Oryza sativa Japonica Group: one gene and its partners. The protein of the gene in region 2 binds, or shares a complex with, the protein of the main gene of each other region. Links are inferred from orthologs where the notes say so. Each region holds a gene or a part of one and is shown on either strand. Other genes may lie near its edges.

The links.
Region 1: the proteins of thioredoxin-like protein CITRX, chloroplastic (region 2) and fructokinase-like 2, chloroplastic are in contact, whole or in part, in a cryo-EM structure (PDB 8XZV), measured with the Spinacia oleracea proteins. The link is inferred for Oryza sativa Japonica Group from reciprocal best matches to the Arabidopsis thaliana genes TRX z and FLN2. Residues at the interface, in XP_021862427.2 of Spinacia oleracea: Tyr73, Lys77, Ile83, Thr84, Val87, Arg88, Phe99, Tyr100, Thr102, Trp103, Gly105, Pro106, Ile108, Leu109, Gln112, Asp131, Asp133, Tyr136, Phe138, Ala139, Arg140, Asp141, Met142, Gln143, Val144, Arg145, Gly146, Leu147, Pro148, Tyr151; in XP_021858068.1 of Spinacia oleracea: Gln218, His219, Ala220, Phe221, Val222, Pro223, Ser224, Gly225, Arg226, Pro227, Ala228, Arg230, Leu231, Ile232, His234, Gln235, Ile236, His237, Leu240, Lys241, Ala243, Phe250, Ile251, Asp282, Tyr283, Thr286, Trp308, Ala310, Met311, Ser312.
Region 3: the proteins of thioredoxin-like protein CITRX, chloroplastic (region 2) and fructokinase-like 1, chloroplastic are in contact, whole or in part, in a cryo-EM structure (PDB 8XZV), measured with the Spinacia oleracea proteins. The link is inferred for Oryza sativa Japonica Group from reciprocal best matches to the Arabidopsis thaliana genes TRX z and FLN1. Residues at the interface, in XP_021862427.2 of Spinacia oleracea: Tyr73, Val75, Lys77, Ile83, Thr84, Val87, Arg88, Tyr100, Ala101, Thr102, Trp103, Cys104, Gly105, Pro106, Cys107, Ile108, Ala111, Gln112, Lys129, Asp131, Thr132, Asp133, Asp134, Tyr136, Phe138, Arg140, Asp141, Met142, Gln143, Val144; in XP_021865197.1 of Spinacia oleracea: Gln111, Lys112, Glu113, Phe114, Val115, Pro116, Ser117, Val118, Arg119, Val120, Ser121, His123, Gln124, Met125, Asp126, Pro127, Asp128, Ile129, Tyr130, Trp133, Met136, Gln137, Pro141, Phe143, Asp175, Phe176, Lys201, Ala203, Cys204, Ser205.

The regions. Positions count from the first base shown.
Region 1 is NC_089037.1:23,404,973-23,410,028, reverse strand, and holds the start of fructokinase-like 2, chloroplastic, read right to left. Parts: upstream 3,330-5,056; 5' UTR 3,224-3,329; coding exon 3,150-3,223; intron 2,655-3,149; coding exon 2,347-2,654; intron 2,243-2,346; coding exon 1,590-2,242; intron 475-1,589; coding exon 3-474; intron 1-2. UniProt on the Arabidopsis thaliana protein: Required for proper chloroplast development, most likely through regulating plastid-encoded polymerase (PEP) dependent chloroplast transcription.
Region 2 is NC_089042.1:17,952,937-17,957,897, reverse strand, and holds thioredoxin-like protein CITRX, chloroplastic, read left to right. Parts: upstream 1-1,787; 5' UTR 1,788-1,873; coding exon 1,874-2,122; intron 2,123-2,251; coding exon 2,252-2,374; intron 2,375-3,342; coding exon 3,343-3,423; intron 3,424-3,537; coding exon 3,538-3,654; 3' UTR 3,655-3,851; downstream 3,852-4,961. UniProt on the Arabidopsis thaliana protein: Thiol-disulfide oxidoreductase that plays a role in proper chloroplast development, most likely through regulating plastid-encoded polymerase (PEP) dependent chloroplast transcription.
Region 3 is NC_089035.1:37,265,120-37,270,037, forward strand, and holds fructokinase-like 1, chloroplastic, read left to right. Parts: upstream 1-1,607; 5' UTR 1,608-1,656; coding exon 1,657-2,559; intron 2,560-2,947; coding exon 2,948-3,640; 3' UTR 3,641-3,889; downstream 3,890-4,918. Other genes in the region: heme-binding-like protein At3g10130, chloroplastic, read left to right, coding at 415-1,065; O-fucosyltransferase 19, read right to left, coding at 4,792-4,918. UniProt on the Arabidopsis thaliana protein: Required for proper chloroplast development, most likely through regulating plastid-encoded polymerase (PEP) dependent chloroplast transcription.

The DNA.
Region 1 (5,056 bases), on a different chromosome or scaffold from region 2:
ACCTGCAACAATGGCGTCACCTGATTGTGACATGTCACCGGTGAAAGGAGTAATTGGTGCATCTTCTGTGCCACGAACCCAGCCATCATGCTCTTTTGTGTAATAATGAATCTTAGAAGTGCCGTTTGTCACAAAAAGGACCTTGAGATTTTCATGCCACAATTTCGTAACAACTTCTGGGCTGTAGTGAGTGAATTTGGATTTATCATTATCCTTCGTACCAAATTTCTCAGATGGTTTAATGCCACACAAGAACTCAAGTTCCTGCTTAGTGATTTCAATAATATCAGCAGCTTCCCATGCTTCCTTGACAAGTGACTTGGTCTCCTTACTGGACGACCATAATGGCAGTGGAAGATTGAGATCAAAGAATGTTACACCACCAAATTTCTTGGAAACCTCAATTGCTTTCGACAATGATGATCGTGTCGTGGGCTCAAGCAAAGCTGAAGAATTGTAGTAAAACATCTTAGCCTGCATTAACAAACAGAAACAACTGATTTTTACATAAGATATAACACATAAGTGGACAGTATTTTCTTCAGGGATTGTAGATATCTTTGATTTACCTAATTTCAGATATGGCCTGCCCATAGGGACCTAATATTTTAAGTAGTTGCTTTTTAATGTTCATATTATTTTGAGTTTGGGAATTTTCAGACATTCAGCATTAGCAAAGATATTATCCAACAAGTTCCAGTACAGAGCAGCTTGTAGTGCCCTAACTGCTAAAAGGTTTTTTACAAAAAATTAAGATCATTATGGTACAGGTTTATGTGTCTTCTGACTAAAAAATAACCATGCTAAGTGCAAACATGTAGAAAAAGCACAGTTGTGAACTGAAAGTGTTTTATTTACTTCTTTTTCTGAACCTACCAAAGCACGGCAATGAAAACAGGTAAACCTCCCATTTGTTTATAGTACATAGTATCATTTTGACACATTCATGGTCAACTAATAGATAGCAAGTTTGAATTGATAGAAATCGAGTTGAGTAATTTCCTCTTATTATCTTTTTGGACAAGTACATTAATTTAGCAGTATAGCCCTAGTTGTTCCTTAAGTCTTTTGATATAAATATAATGACTTCTGTATTGCAAACAATGTTGCAACTGAATTATGAATTGCACATCTAAACAGTATAATATGCCATCAGCTGAAAGCAACTTCTTCACTTTAGCAAGCTCTTCTTGTGATAAAGAAAAATAGAATCTTTCTAACTGTATAAGGAACAGAATTATTCAACAAAATTTGCTTTTATGTGGTAAAATTTCCATACCAGATTAATTATAACTAACAAAACAATGTGTGACATACAAATCTTCTGATCCGTGTAGTACTCTTTCATTAACTAATCATCTCTGACAAAAGAAAATGCACCACAACATAATGATAGGTCAGCATAGTAAAATAACTTTACCATGTGAACATTTAAACAATTTATTGTTGCCACAATGTGCATGGCACAAACAAACTTTTCTCAAGACCAATCAAGTGTGCATACAGTTTATCATTAAACCATGTAGTAATAGATAATATTGTAGAGGATAAGGTGTAATCAAAATATTGTTTGATGTACTCGTCTTTACCTCTTTTAAAACAGCTGGGTTGATATCAGTTTGGACAAAACAATCCTCTGCACAAGGTTTAGCACAGCTCATTTTCAAGCTACCCCTACCTGTGACCTTCATCAAGGACATGGCAGTAAACGCTGAAGGGTCCATTTTAATTGCCCGAGTTTGAACTCCATTGACGTTCAAGTGATATAATGTACTTTGACCATAATCATCATCGCCTAGTTTTCCCATGAATTCAACCCGGCCACCAGAAGCTGCTAAAGCAAGAGCAACATTGGATGATGATCCTCCTGGTGCCCTTACAAATTGATCTGGAGACCAGAACATGTCTTTCATTCCCTCATGAATTTCATGATCTATCAGCCTATTAGCAGGTCTTCCAGAAGGAATAAATGAGTACTTAGCAGGCCCAAAGCAGCACACAAGAGGGATTAAATTGTTAATATCATTATCATCAGTATCTTCTAATAGCAATGCTGCTATTTTACTTTCTAGGTCATTTGCTGAAATTTTCTCCTGCCTGTCATTGGAGGGCACTAGATCTTCACCCAGATCTTCCCCTTCATTGTCACTCAATTCCTCTACAGTCTTAACTTTTCTTCTGCCCCTCTTCTTTGGTTCTTTTGCTTTGTCCTTCTCTTCCGATGAGCTTGCAGTAGTTGCAGCTGCAACATAGGAGAGAAGTCATGACTTGCTAAGGGTTTACGATAATTTTTTTCTTAAGTTATTGAAGGAAGTACTCTACTGAAAATATGCAAGCAAGATGTACCTTTCTTGCGGCCCCTCCTTTTTATTTTCTTAGTCCCTTCAGGGGATTCATCTTCTTCAGTGCTCACTTGACCTTCTTGTGTTTCCCCTTCTGATGCTTGTATGGTGGCTTTCTTTCTTCCACGTCTCGGAGCTCTTTTCTTGGTTTTTGATGTCTCGCCGTCACTCTCATCATCACTTGAACCTTCTGCTACATCTTGAGAGCTCTTCTTTGCCATGGAACTTACGTTTCGGTTGAGCAGCCTCATTTTAGCTTTAGGCTTAGTCATAATGTTTCCCAAGAAGTGGGGCTTATAATGTAAATGGCTCCTGCACATTACACATCGGAAGCAAGTCACTAATAACTGTTGGAATTTAAACCATAATGTAAGTAGTGATGTGTTAAAAAATAAAGAATAAGTGAATGTAAGATAGAACTAATGTTATCACACGATTCAAATATGAAGCTGCTACCATACCACGTGGGAGCATATTCAGACAAGGCTAGGTACAAGCGGTATATATATATATTTCATCGAGTACACATCACAATTTGATGACATATTGTTCATCTTGTAAGAATCAAATAGTTGTTATCAAAAAATGAAACAAAACATAGACCCAAGATCTATTGGAAATTTGGGACCAAAGAAAGATGCCACAATCTCCACTCCATGTGCTGCTCCTTTCCCTTCCCTAACCTAGGATCCATATGGTGGCGACTCAAACAATCCGAAAGAGATCGCCACACGCACTCATATCAGCTACTACCAGAAGAAGAAGAAGAAGAAGCTGCATTACACAGAAAAATGAAGCATTACATACCTGATTGAGTTGGTACTACAAGGCAGGGAGCAAAGAAACTGCGGGGGGAGAAGAAGAGAAGCCATTCGGTGCATCAATGGAGAGGAGAGGATTCCTACAAGAATCCTCGCCTACGCCTCTTCCGCCTCCCGGGAGAAGAAAATCCCTCAAACGAAGAAGCTCAGAGCTGAGCAGAGGAGCAAAAACCCCAGGGGAGAGGGGAGAAGAAGATTGATTGCTGCTGCAAACTAAAATTACATACATGCCCTTCCATCTATCTCAAGATAAGGGGCAGAAGCGTAATAAATAATCGCATGGTAGAACACGTACTTGGGGAATACGCTTCATCCATGGGTTTACGAACAGATAATAATACGCTAGCACTCTCCTCTCCTCTCCTCTTCTTCCCCCGGGAGACTCCGCCGCCGTTTATCGCCTCGGCGGCGCGGAATCCTCTCTCTTGGTTCGCAAATGGCAGCCGCACGGGGTAGCTTATAGGGATCTTCTTGGGAGTTACCCTGGTTGACTGGTCCGCTCATTCATCGAATCAACGCATCCTGCGCCGTCGCCTCGCCTGTTCTTCAATTTGCCGCCGGCGCCGGCTTCGGCTTGGCCATGGTGCTCCGGCCTCACGGGAGTTCTTGCTGAATGTTTATCATGGTATATTAATTGTTTCTTTTGTGTGACAATGTGGGAATCTAGTATTCTAGTCGAGTCCTACTGCCGTTCTTTGCAACCTTCTCCAGTTTGTGGCAATGCGTTGCGGCGCTGTCAGCGCTATGCATGTTTGTGGTGATTTGTGGTTCTTCTCCGTTTCACATTATAAGTTGTTTTATTTAGGTTTGATCAAATTTATAGAAAAATTTAGCAACATCTACAATACTAAATTAGTTTCATTAAATATATTTTGATAATACGTTTGTTTTCTATTCAAAATGTTGCTGTATTTTTTAGAAATTAGGTCAAAATTAAAAAAAAAGATTGATTAGGAAAAAAAGTCAAAATGACTTATAATATAAAACAAGGTCGTAATGGACTGTTAAAATTGCTGGTTTCCATAGCACTTTGCACGTCATATGTACCAGTAATTGTTATTCATTCAGCCATTGTTCCTTCTCATTTGCTCCGCAACACATAGTCTGTCAAGATAGAAAAATAATACTATAAATCTACTTATTCAGATAAGCTTGATTTTTTTTTTTTGAGGATTGGAACAAAATAATTGGTTGATTCCGTATTGTACTGTCTTTTTTACTTCTATTGTGTTCTTTTATTTCTGCCACGTCACACATTTAGTTTCTAAACACCCATTGCTCTTCCATTCCGGCTATCAGCTTAAGGACTGTTTTATGTTGTAAAACAGTAAAAGTACTGTTCCTTTGGTAGATTAGCCCTAAAGGAAGCTGTTTGTTCAGATACCAATTGAGAACCTTTTCTTCTGTAATATCTGCCTAAAAGGTTGACTTGTCATGAAATCTTCTTATATTCCGTAATATTTCTGTATTTTTTTCTCATGTCTGAGGTTGCCTGATACTTTGCAGGCAATGTAGAGCTGTTCAGCAACATTTTTTTTTTTCTGGACAAAAATCAAAACCCCAAAAGGGCATTCCAACCATTTAGCTAAGCATGATATATCCTATGGTATCGTGTACTAAATCCCATGTTCTCTATCAAGGATAGAGTTAAACGGCTAATTCCTGCTGCCCAATGCTACTACTTGAAAGGAAAAATGCTCAGCATTTTTGCAACAGTGTTCCCTCATGTTTCTTTAATAAGGTGCTGCTGTACCCATGTCAGCCTGTTTGTTGACTCACAGAAATGCACAAACAAATTTCTCAAGGTACTGTTCTTTTTCAGGAATCAGGATAATCATCCAAGACAAGATCCCAAGAGCAAGCGGTTGTCATAGCTTTAGGGAGCAATGTAGG
Region 2 (4,961 bases):
GGAATGTGACACATCCTAGTACAATGAATCTGAATAGACTTTTGCTCAGATTCGTTGTACTAGGATAGAAATTTGTTCAGATTCGTTATACTAGGATGTGTCACATCCTATCAAAATCTCTTATATTTAGGGACAGAGGGAGTAGAATAGAAGATTTGGCGTTCGATAAGGAACGATGGGTCGTAGACAACCTCATTATTTATTCCACCTTCATATACTGGGAGAATAGCAAGGAGCATAGTAAAAAAAGGGGACCTGGCCGGTGGTTGAACCGGAAAAAACTGGAGCCAGTGACCTTGGCAGCTCAGTTCAGCTCAAAGACTATCCCTGCAATCGAACGGGTAAAAAATCGGTGAACCGGTAGGTTTTATTTGAACTGGTGAACCTCGGCGGTGGTTTTTTTAGAATCGAGTTGTTTTTAATTTGTCATATGGCAGTATGACATTATGGGTTTGTTAAGTTACACTACATTTATTTTTTTTATGTTGTGGTCATATAATAATAGATATACTGGTTTATTTATGCATATTTCATCAATTTGTGATGGTTCTATATTAAAAATAATGCAAAACAAATATAATATTAATAAATTAAAAACCGGTGGTTCGACCGGTGACCCGACGGTTTGATCGGTGAATCGAACGGTCAGAGTGGGTCGACCACCGATCCCTTTTTTTTTTTTTTACTATGATAAGGAGGGAATATTGTTATGGTGGACAACCATGAAAAATATTTTATGCATTTCCAACATAAATTTACCCTTTGATTCTTGGGTGAATAGTCTTTTTTATTCATGGGTTTAGCTTAAGATTACGAAAAGACATGTATGTTGTAGCATTGCGGGTCCTATATTATTGCTCTATGATGGCCTTAAGATTCGTGTGAATGTGTGGGTACTGTATTAGGGCATCCGCAATGGTTATCTATAGACTCTTTACACGAGATCCATATCAGCATATTTTTCTACTTGGAAGAGATTAAATGAAGAGAGAGAGAGTAAAGCTATCTACTAACCTGGAGATAGTCTATAGAGAAAGACGAGGCAATGGATTAGAGAGCTATAGATACCCATGTAGACATCATTGAAGTGGTTTACTATTAATCTAGTCTATTGCTAATATGGACAATGTTTTATAGATAGTATCTTACTTTACCATTGCGGGTGCTCTTATGGTTCTGGACATAGCTTAAAAAATGCGAAGAAAACAAGGAGCTCATATATTCTACATGTTAAAACTTAGAACTTACCGTCACGTAGATTTTTGCCATATATGGATGAAGATTCAATAATTGCTTTCTTTCTATGTATTGGTTTTTATTCAGTATTTATGATGTTGTCTAAATGTTTGTTCACTTTGAAAGAATTTTGTACTCTTTTCATATACTTTTGATAATCATATTTTATCTTGGTACACAGACCAAGGATAAGTAATTCTACTTCTCATTCATTTAAACATGTTACTAGTCATTCCTCGTAAACAAGCGATTTATTAATATTTATATTTCTCGATACTCATGTATCCAATCTTGTATGGAAAAATAAGAGTCACGCATTAAATCCGAAAAAAGTCATTAAGAGGATAAGTTGTTGGATTGAAATATGCTTATCAAAAATAAAATTTTTAGATTTAGAAATATAACTATCAAAAATAGATGGATGAAAGTAGATGGATGGAGAAGTGATTGTAGTTTTTTTAGGTAAAGTTCAGGATTTATTCAAGACAGATATTTAGCGAAAACCAAATGTTTAAGGCTTTTACCCCTCACATCATCACTCACAGGCAACTCGCCTTTTTTACTCGAGTAGAGTAGCGACAGCTCGCGAGGCAGAGACAGGATAGGATTATCTCTCCCACACTCGCTCCCCCCAGCCATGGCCATGGCCGCGGCCGCCTCCCTCCTGCCGGCGAGCGCCGCCCCAACCCTCCCCGGACGCGCCTTCCGCCCGCCCCGCAACTCCACCCCGACGGCCTCCCTCTCCTGCGATGGCGGCTCCCGCTGCCGCGGCGTCGGCCTCGGCGTCATCCTCGGTGGGTGTCGCGCGCAAGGCGTTCGACGGAATGCCGCAGCCGAGACCTACGTCCCAGGCTCCGGCAAGTACATCGCCCCGGACTACCTCGTGGTACGATCCTGCAAGGCTCGACTCGCATTTGGCAGTGAGCCTGGCTACGTTCGAGGAGTCTGCTCGATCGAGTCCTACTTGGGTATCTGAAACGGGATATATCTTTCCTTCCTCCTTTCATGGTTGCAGAAGAAGGTGACGGCCAAGGAACTGGAGGAGCTGGTGAGGGGGGAGAGGAAGGTGCCCCTCATCGTGGATTTCTACGCGACGTGGTGCGGACCCTGCGTCCTCATGGCCCAGGACATCGAGATGGTAATATGTGCCCTGCAAATCTTACATTCCCCGTTTAGTGTTTGCTTCTCTCTAACGTTGGGCAACACTCTCTGACCAATTACAAGTTTGCGCACCCTTCCCACGTAGAGTTATTACTAGCAATGAAAGAGGAAACACCCATAAGAAAAAGAAAAAAACAATCTTCACATATGTTTGAAAACATACATTAAACTGATTTAGGGAGTGTTTAAAGCTTCACATGATTTTGAAAACATTTGTATGATTTAGGGTCTCTGAATGTCTAGCTAGCACCAAACTGAACTGGGGTGTTAGTAGGTGTCATGTGCCATGAATACTCTAGTCTTGTTAATTAAGCACTTACTTATCAAGATTCTAATCCAAAATGAGACTACAACAATTTTAACCATTCTCTACTTAGATTAGTAAAGAAATGGCAGACCCAACGTGTATGTCTGTGCCTAATAACGAAAGGGAATGATATAGCCAGTGCAAGATGCCTATGTCCATTCCAAAATCTTCCCTGAAATTTGTGGCTGTTACGCTGGTGGTATTCTTTGTATGCTCTGAATTTGTCAGAGACAATATTGCCTTTCCTGCAAGCTCCACCCCAGTGTTCTTGACAATCTGAATTTATTGAAGAAACTTTGATTTAATATATTCAACAATAGTGTTTCCATCACATTTGTATCTAGATCTTCCCTAATATTCTTTTATACTCCCTCCATTTCACAATGTAAGTCATTCTAGCATTTTCCACATTCATATTGATGTTAATGAATCTAGACATATATATCTATCTAGATTCATTAACATCAATATGAATGTGGGAAATGCTAGAATGACTTATATTGTGAAACGGAGGAAGTAATACTTATAGGTTTCAAGTAACTTCACCAAGTGCCATATATACTTATAATGCAAACTCATTTTTTGCATCCTCTTGTACTATCAACTGATTTCAACATTTCTGCCATATAATGTGTCAGCTTGCAGTTGAATATGAAAACAATGCCCTGTTTGTGAAGGTGGATACTGATGATGAATATGAACTTGCAAGAGATATGCAGGTATACACATCATTGCACACACTGAGCAAAGAAAATAGTAATCATAGTTTTGTTTTGGTTTATAACTTATTTTTACAATGTTTTCTGAACACTCACCATGGGTGAAAAATACAGGTAAGAGGACTTCCAACACTGTATTTCTTCAGTCCAGATCAAAGCAAAGACGCCCTAAGGACTGAGGGACTGATTCCTATTGATATGATCAGAAATATCATTGATAATGAATTGTGATCGCTAGGATATAGGGACATAGTTGAGATTTTGATGTTTGAAGTATTTTAGCCACTAGTAGATGTGATAGATTTGAGCTTTCTGATCTTTAGTGGGAAGGTTCTGAATCTTCTGGTACGCAGAGTCTGCGTGTGGAATGTAGTATGTTATATGTGGGGTTCGTGCTTCAGACTAACAAGCTACTCTATAATTCAGTTATTCTTCCTAGTTCAAGATAAAACGGTTTTTGCACCTTTGTGCTCTTCCCTCATGATTATCAAGATTATCATGACTAGGGAGGGAGGCTAACAACTAAAATTAAATTACAAGAAAACCTATTATAGCTACAATCCACTAACTGGAATTACTTCTATAGAGGAGCACACGCATGACCCCACAACATCTTGATAGTTCATGTTCATTCTCACTCGCTGTACTCTTAAGTAATACTTAACTGTCTCTGTAGCAACACGCTCGATATCATCTAGTTAAACTAACCTAGTGTGTAAGGTTTAAGACTAGTGCAGCCCAAGTTTTACAACCTATATATGATTCAAATATCTTAAACCCTAACTAAAAAGGGTCTCGGAGAGGGGGGGGGGGGTAAAATTTCAAAAACTTGAATAATTAGACCGAATGAGATAGTCGGATACCGGATGTGACGGTCCGACTACGGATGCAGTTGGACAATTTGGTTGGCACCGTATCAGACAATTCGGTTAGTGCCAGGACAGGAAAATGAGTAAATGACTCGGACATTTCGAACTCGGTCAGTGCAAGACAGAAAAATGAGTAAATGACTCGGACGTTTCGAACGTTTTGACCATGATAGGATAATCTGGGTAACACATGAAACTTAACTTAGGCAATTTAACAAGAAGCAAACTAAAAAACGGGCTATGCAAGCATACTTTCTACACGAGCAAGCTAGTTGAAGATAGAGCTAAACAAGCATGCAAAAATCACAACTAGCACATGTTAGAAAACGGTAAAAGTGAGAAAAGGAGGCACCCATTTAAGTATTTACCTAAGTTTGGATCCAATCATTCCTATCCGTCTCCGTTGACAGTCACCCCAATCATCACAGTTTATCCCCTCTCTCGTGCTTCAAAAAAAAAAAAGAAAAAAAGAAATAAAGAAAAAAAAAGTGACCGCCGGTCTTCTCCCCCGCCTCGCCGCCGCGCGCACGCAGCCGCCGGCGAACTGGCCCCGGAGGCGCCTCTTCCTTCCCAACCCCGCCCTAGCCCTTCTCCCCTGCTCGGCCTCCTCGCGCGCACGGCCGGTCGCTGGGTTTGGAGCCAGCCAGGGGGGCCGATGCTGCCGCCTGC
Region 3 (4,918 bases), on a different chromosome or scaffold from region 2:
GCCCATTATTTACTGGCCGTCTGGCCCTCATTTGGTCCTGTTATTTTGGTAAAGCCCAAAGTCCAGCCCATGAACTCCAGAAAGCAGCAAAATACCGTGCGCCAGCGGCTCTAGACCTCTAGTCAAAGCGAAAGCCAACGGAGGACGTATCGAGGTTGTTGCAGAGTGCTGGACTTGCCCGCCAAGCCGAAGACAAAACGCACCGCGGACGTGGAGCAACACGCGCCGCGATTCAGGCTCCCCACTTCGTCCACACATCCCGCCTCCTCGCCGCTTCTTTAAACTCCAAGCGGCCAAGCCCACCGCCAATCACTCATCCAAGTATCCAACAAAGAACAAACCCACCCCCGCCGCTGAGATCGAATCCGACCTTAATTTTCACCTGCTCGCTGATCTCGCCGGCCGTCGACCGCCATGGGGATGGTGCTGGGCAAGATCACGGTGGAGACGCCCAAGCACGAGGTGCTCCACACCGGCGCCGGCTACGAGGTCCGCAAGTACCCGCCGTGCGTCGTCGCCGAGGTCACCTACGACCCCGCGGAGATGAAAGGCGACCGCGACGGCGGGTTCACCGTCCTCGGCAACTACATCGGCGCCCTCGGCAACCCGCAGAACACCAAGCCAGAGAAGATCGACATGACCGCGCCGGTCATCACCTCCGGCGAGCCCGAGAGTATCGCCATGACGGCCCCGGTCATCACCTCCGGTGAGCCTGAGCCGGTGGCGATGACCGCGCCGGTGATCACGGCCGAAGAGCGCAGCCAGGGGAAGGGTCAGATGACAATGCAGTTTCTGCTGCCGTCCAAGTACAGCAAGGTGGAGGAGGCGCCGCGGCCGACGGACGAGCGGGTGGTGCTGCGGCAGGTGGGGGAGAGGAAGTACGGGGTGGTGAGGTTCAGCGGCCTGACCGGAGACAAGGTGGTGAAGGAGAAGGCGGAGTGGCTCAAGGCCGCGCTGGAGAAGGACGGGTTCACCGTCAAGGGCCCCTTCGTGCTGGCGCGGTACAACCCGCCGTTTACTCTGCCTCCGCTGCGCACCAACGAGGTCATGGTCCCCGTCGAGTGATACGGCGAGACTCCATTGTTGGTGTCTAGTGATGTACTGATGCGCATGTACTTTTATCAGGGTGTCCTTGTTACTCCTAGGCCCTAGCTATTTCTCTATTTCTTTATCCTTTTGACTTTGTTCTGTACTGATGTATGTTTGGATCAACGAATAATGGACATATCTTGGGAAAAATTTCAGTAGTCCGGAAAAATGAATCAAGCATGCACACAAGAATACTCTGCAGTTCAGTCACGGGCAGAGTACACAGCTTATGCAGTTATGCTCCTTGACGGTAAATTTGTTCCGGCCTGAACTTATTGGAGACGCTCACTGCAACCTCATACTTGAGCCAACGCAACTGTCAAATCTAAACTTCAGGCTGGCCGTCGAGATCGAATTTGGCCCATATTAGTTAGCGGTGCAGCACCGTTCCGTTTCAATGTTGGGCCTACAAAGCGCTCAGATCCATACCCGCAAGGCTGCAACCCAGTTTATGGATTCGGGCGCAACCCGACATCCTTAACGGTCGCTAAACCCTTCAACGCGAACTGGATAGAGTCGAACACCTTCGTCTTCTACCAGGCTTCCCACCGAAGGAGAGAGCCGGCTATGGCCATGGCGGCCTCCCCATTCCTCATCTTGCCATCCTTATTCCCCAAGCCCACCATCCTCGCCGCGCGCATCCACCCCAGCATCTTCCGAGGCCGCCATATTCGCTGCTCCCCGAACGGCGCCGCCGTACCGGAATCCCCTGAACCCGCCCCACGCCGCGGGCGCAGGAAGTCCCCATCCCCGTCGCCGCCGAAGGCGAAGACCACGAGGCGCAGGACCAAGAAGAATACGCAGGAGTCTGATTCAGAGGGCGAGGAGGAGCCGCCGAAGCGGCGGGGCCGTCGGACAAGGAAATCCAAGCAAGAGGCCGAGCAGGAGGCGGCGGAGAAGGAGGATGAGGTCCGGGCGGCGAGCCCCGGAACGGAGGATTCGAAGAGAGCGGTCCAAGATGAGGATGGGGAGGCGGAGGCGACGGGGAGCGACTCCGAAGACGGGGAGGATTCGCCGTACGACTGGCCGCCGCTGGTGTGCTGCTTCGGGGCGCCGCGGTGGGAGTTCGTCCCGACGGTGCGGGTGTCGGACCGGCAGATGCACCCGGACATATACTCCACGTGGCTGCATCTGCAGTGGGAGCCTCCGGAGTTCGCGCGCGCGCCGGGGAGCGCGGCGAGCAACGTGGCCATCGCGCTCACCAGGCTCGGCGGCCGCGCCGCGGTGCTCGGCAAGGTCGGTGACGACGACTTCGGCCGCGAGCTTGTGTACCGCATGAACTGCGAGCGAGTGCAGACGCGCGCCATCAGGTTCGACGACGGCGCGGCCACGGCCACTGCGCGCATGAAGGTCGGGTTCCGGGACCGTGAGGACGGCAGCGGCGGAACGAGGCTTGTGGCTGAGACGGTGAAGAGCGCTGCCGAGGACTCCCTCAGCAAGGCTGAGATCAATGTGGATGTTTTGAAAGAGGTGAGTCGGTGATTTTGTGGTAAATGATTGAAATTGGTGACTTCTGCATACTCCATTGCTGCATTTTTATTTCTCGGCAAGGATATCCACCGCTCAGCTGCGGTACATTGTTGCATTGAAAAACACCGACTCTATGTGAGTAGTGTACTACAGAGCACAATTGCTTATGTCTATTCATTAGTTCAGTTGAACATACAATGGTGCCAAGCCAACCAGTTTTGCAGATTAAAAAGACAAACAAATTTTACCCTGTTATATGATGTTTATCCTTAGAAGATGAATTTTTTATGTGCCCGTGAAAGTAGATTGTAGACCGTCTTTTCTTTATTTATGATTTGATGGAAAGCAAAAAAAAATGAATTTTAGACCTAACGTGCTGTAATTGCAGGCTAGAGTGTTCCATTTCAATTCAGAGGTCCTATTGACTCCCTCAATGGAAAGCACACTCTTCAGAGCAATTGAACTGTCCAAGAAATTTGGAAGTAAAATATTCTTTGATCTTAACTTGCCATTGCCTTTGTGGAGGTCAAGGGATGAAACAAAGGAGTTGATAAACAAGGCATGGAATGAGGCTGATATTATAGAGGTGTCAAGGGATGAGTTGGAATTCCTCCTTGATCACGAGTACTATCAATATAAGCGTGCCAATCCACCTCAGTATTATCTGGATGGTTTTCATCTAACAAGGAACTGGCCACAGTACTACCATTACACCCCCGAAGAAATTGCTCCCATTTGGCATGATGGGATAAAACTCTTGCTTGTGACATACGGAACACTTAGGATCCACTACTACACACCCAAGTTTCATGGCTGCGTGATTGGGACGGAGGATGCACTCATAACTCCATACACAACTGACCGGACAGGTTCTGGAGATGCTGTTGTTGCTGCTGCTATTAGAAAATTGACGTCTTGTCCTGAGATGTATGAGGACCAGGATACATTGGAGAGGAATCTGAGATTCGCTGTTGCTGCCGGAATCATTTCGCAATGGACTATTGGTGCTGTGCGAGGATTCCCTACTGAGAGTGCTGCCCAGAACTTGAAGGAGCAAGTATATGTGCCTTCTATGTGGTGACTGGCGGACTGGTAATCATTTGTGATTAAAAGAACAATGCTCATGATATACAAGTGTATTTCATGAGTGCTGCAACAGAGGTGGTCAAGGGAAAAGTTTTACCAAAACAGCTTACAGGCTTTTCAGGTATCATCCTATCGTCCGTTCCATATTGTTTCAGTGTTCAGTTTTAGTTGGAAAAATGTGTCTGCCACTTGGAGGCTTCCATTGCTTTACAGTTTTGAAGAGCTATGTTTACCTATTGACTTCCATGGTAGGGATGCAAGTGTCTAACCCACTGACCCATGTCACTAAATTGGTGCTTCTTTTTCTGCACACATTTATGTTAGTGATAAAGCTAAATAATCAGAATGAAGTCACAATTTCTGAAATTGACTTAGTTTCACACATTCAAGGAAACTTAACAGGGAATGTGTTTAAGAATTAAGAACAACAGTACTCTGTTTGAGAGGAACTGGCAACATGGATGATATTTAGTTATGATATCGAGGATGATTGATATGAAATGGAGCAAAGCATAGAAATCCAAAACAATCAACTGAACTTAGTGATAAAATGTTTGTTGGCATCATGGCAGCACAAATTCCTAAAGCAAACTTGAAATGCAAAGACTCAATGGAATGAAATAAACTAAAAAAGAATTTACCATTCATCACTTGTTTCTTCTTGGGTACATCCTGCTCTCTCTATATACATCATACATGCCTATCTGAATAAAGCTGCAATTTTGGGATGAATACAAAATATAAAAAGAGGACAGACTGTACATATGGAGTGTGTGAAGTGTGAACTACATACATGCACTAAAAAAGGTATTCTTTCAAGCTATCCCATCACTTCTGGCACATCTATGCTTTGCTGGTATTTAAAATCTTTTTTACTCTTCCGTTTCCTGTATACTTGAATAAATAATCAACTGGAGATGCAGATCTCAGACGATAATAAATGGACCTGCCCCTCCTGCTTCCTTTTCTATGAATGATGGCTGCATACACTGTTAATCTAGGAAAATTATCTGTGGGCTGTCCCTGTCCATTACCAGTGTAATTCTTTGTTAGAAGATTTTGTGTTTGTATATCCATGCTACATCAGGGAAGTGGTTGGAACTTTTGAAGACAATAATATCACATCCTCTTCATAACAAATCAGCGTCATTTAATCCTTTGCATTCTTTTGCACAAGCAGCCTGGAAGGGGATTTGCGTAGAAGTACTCCTCTTGCCTAGGACTTCGACCAGATAACCTCTGATATGGACCCCCAAGTCTGTTTTCATGATGT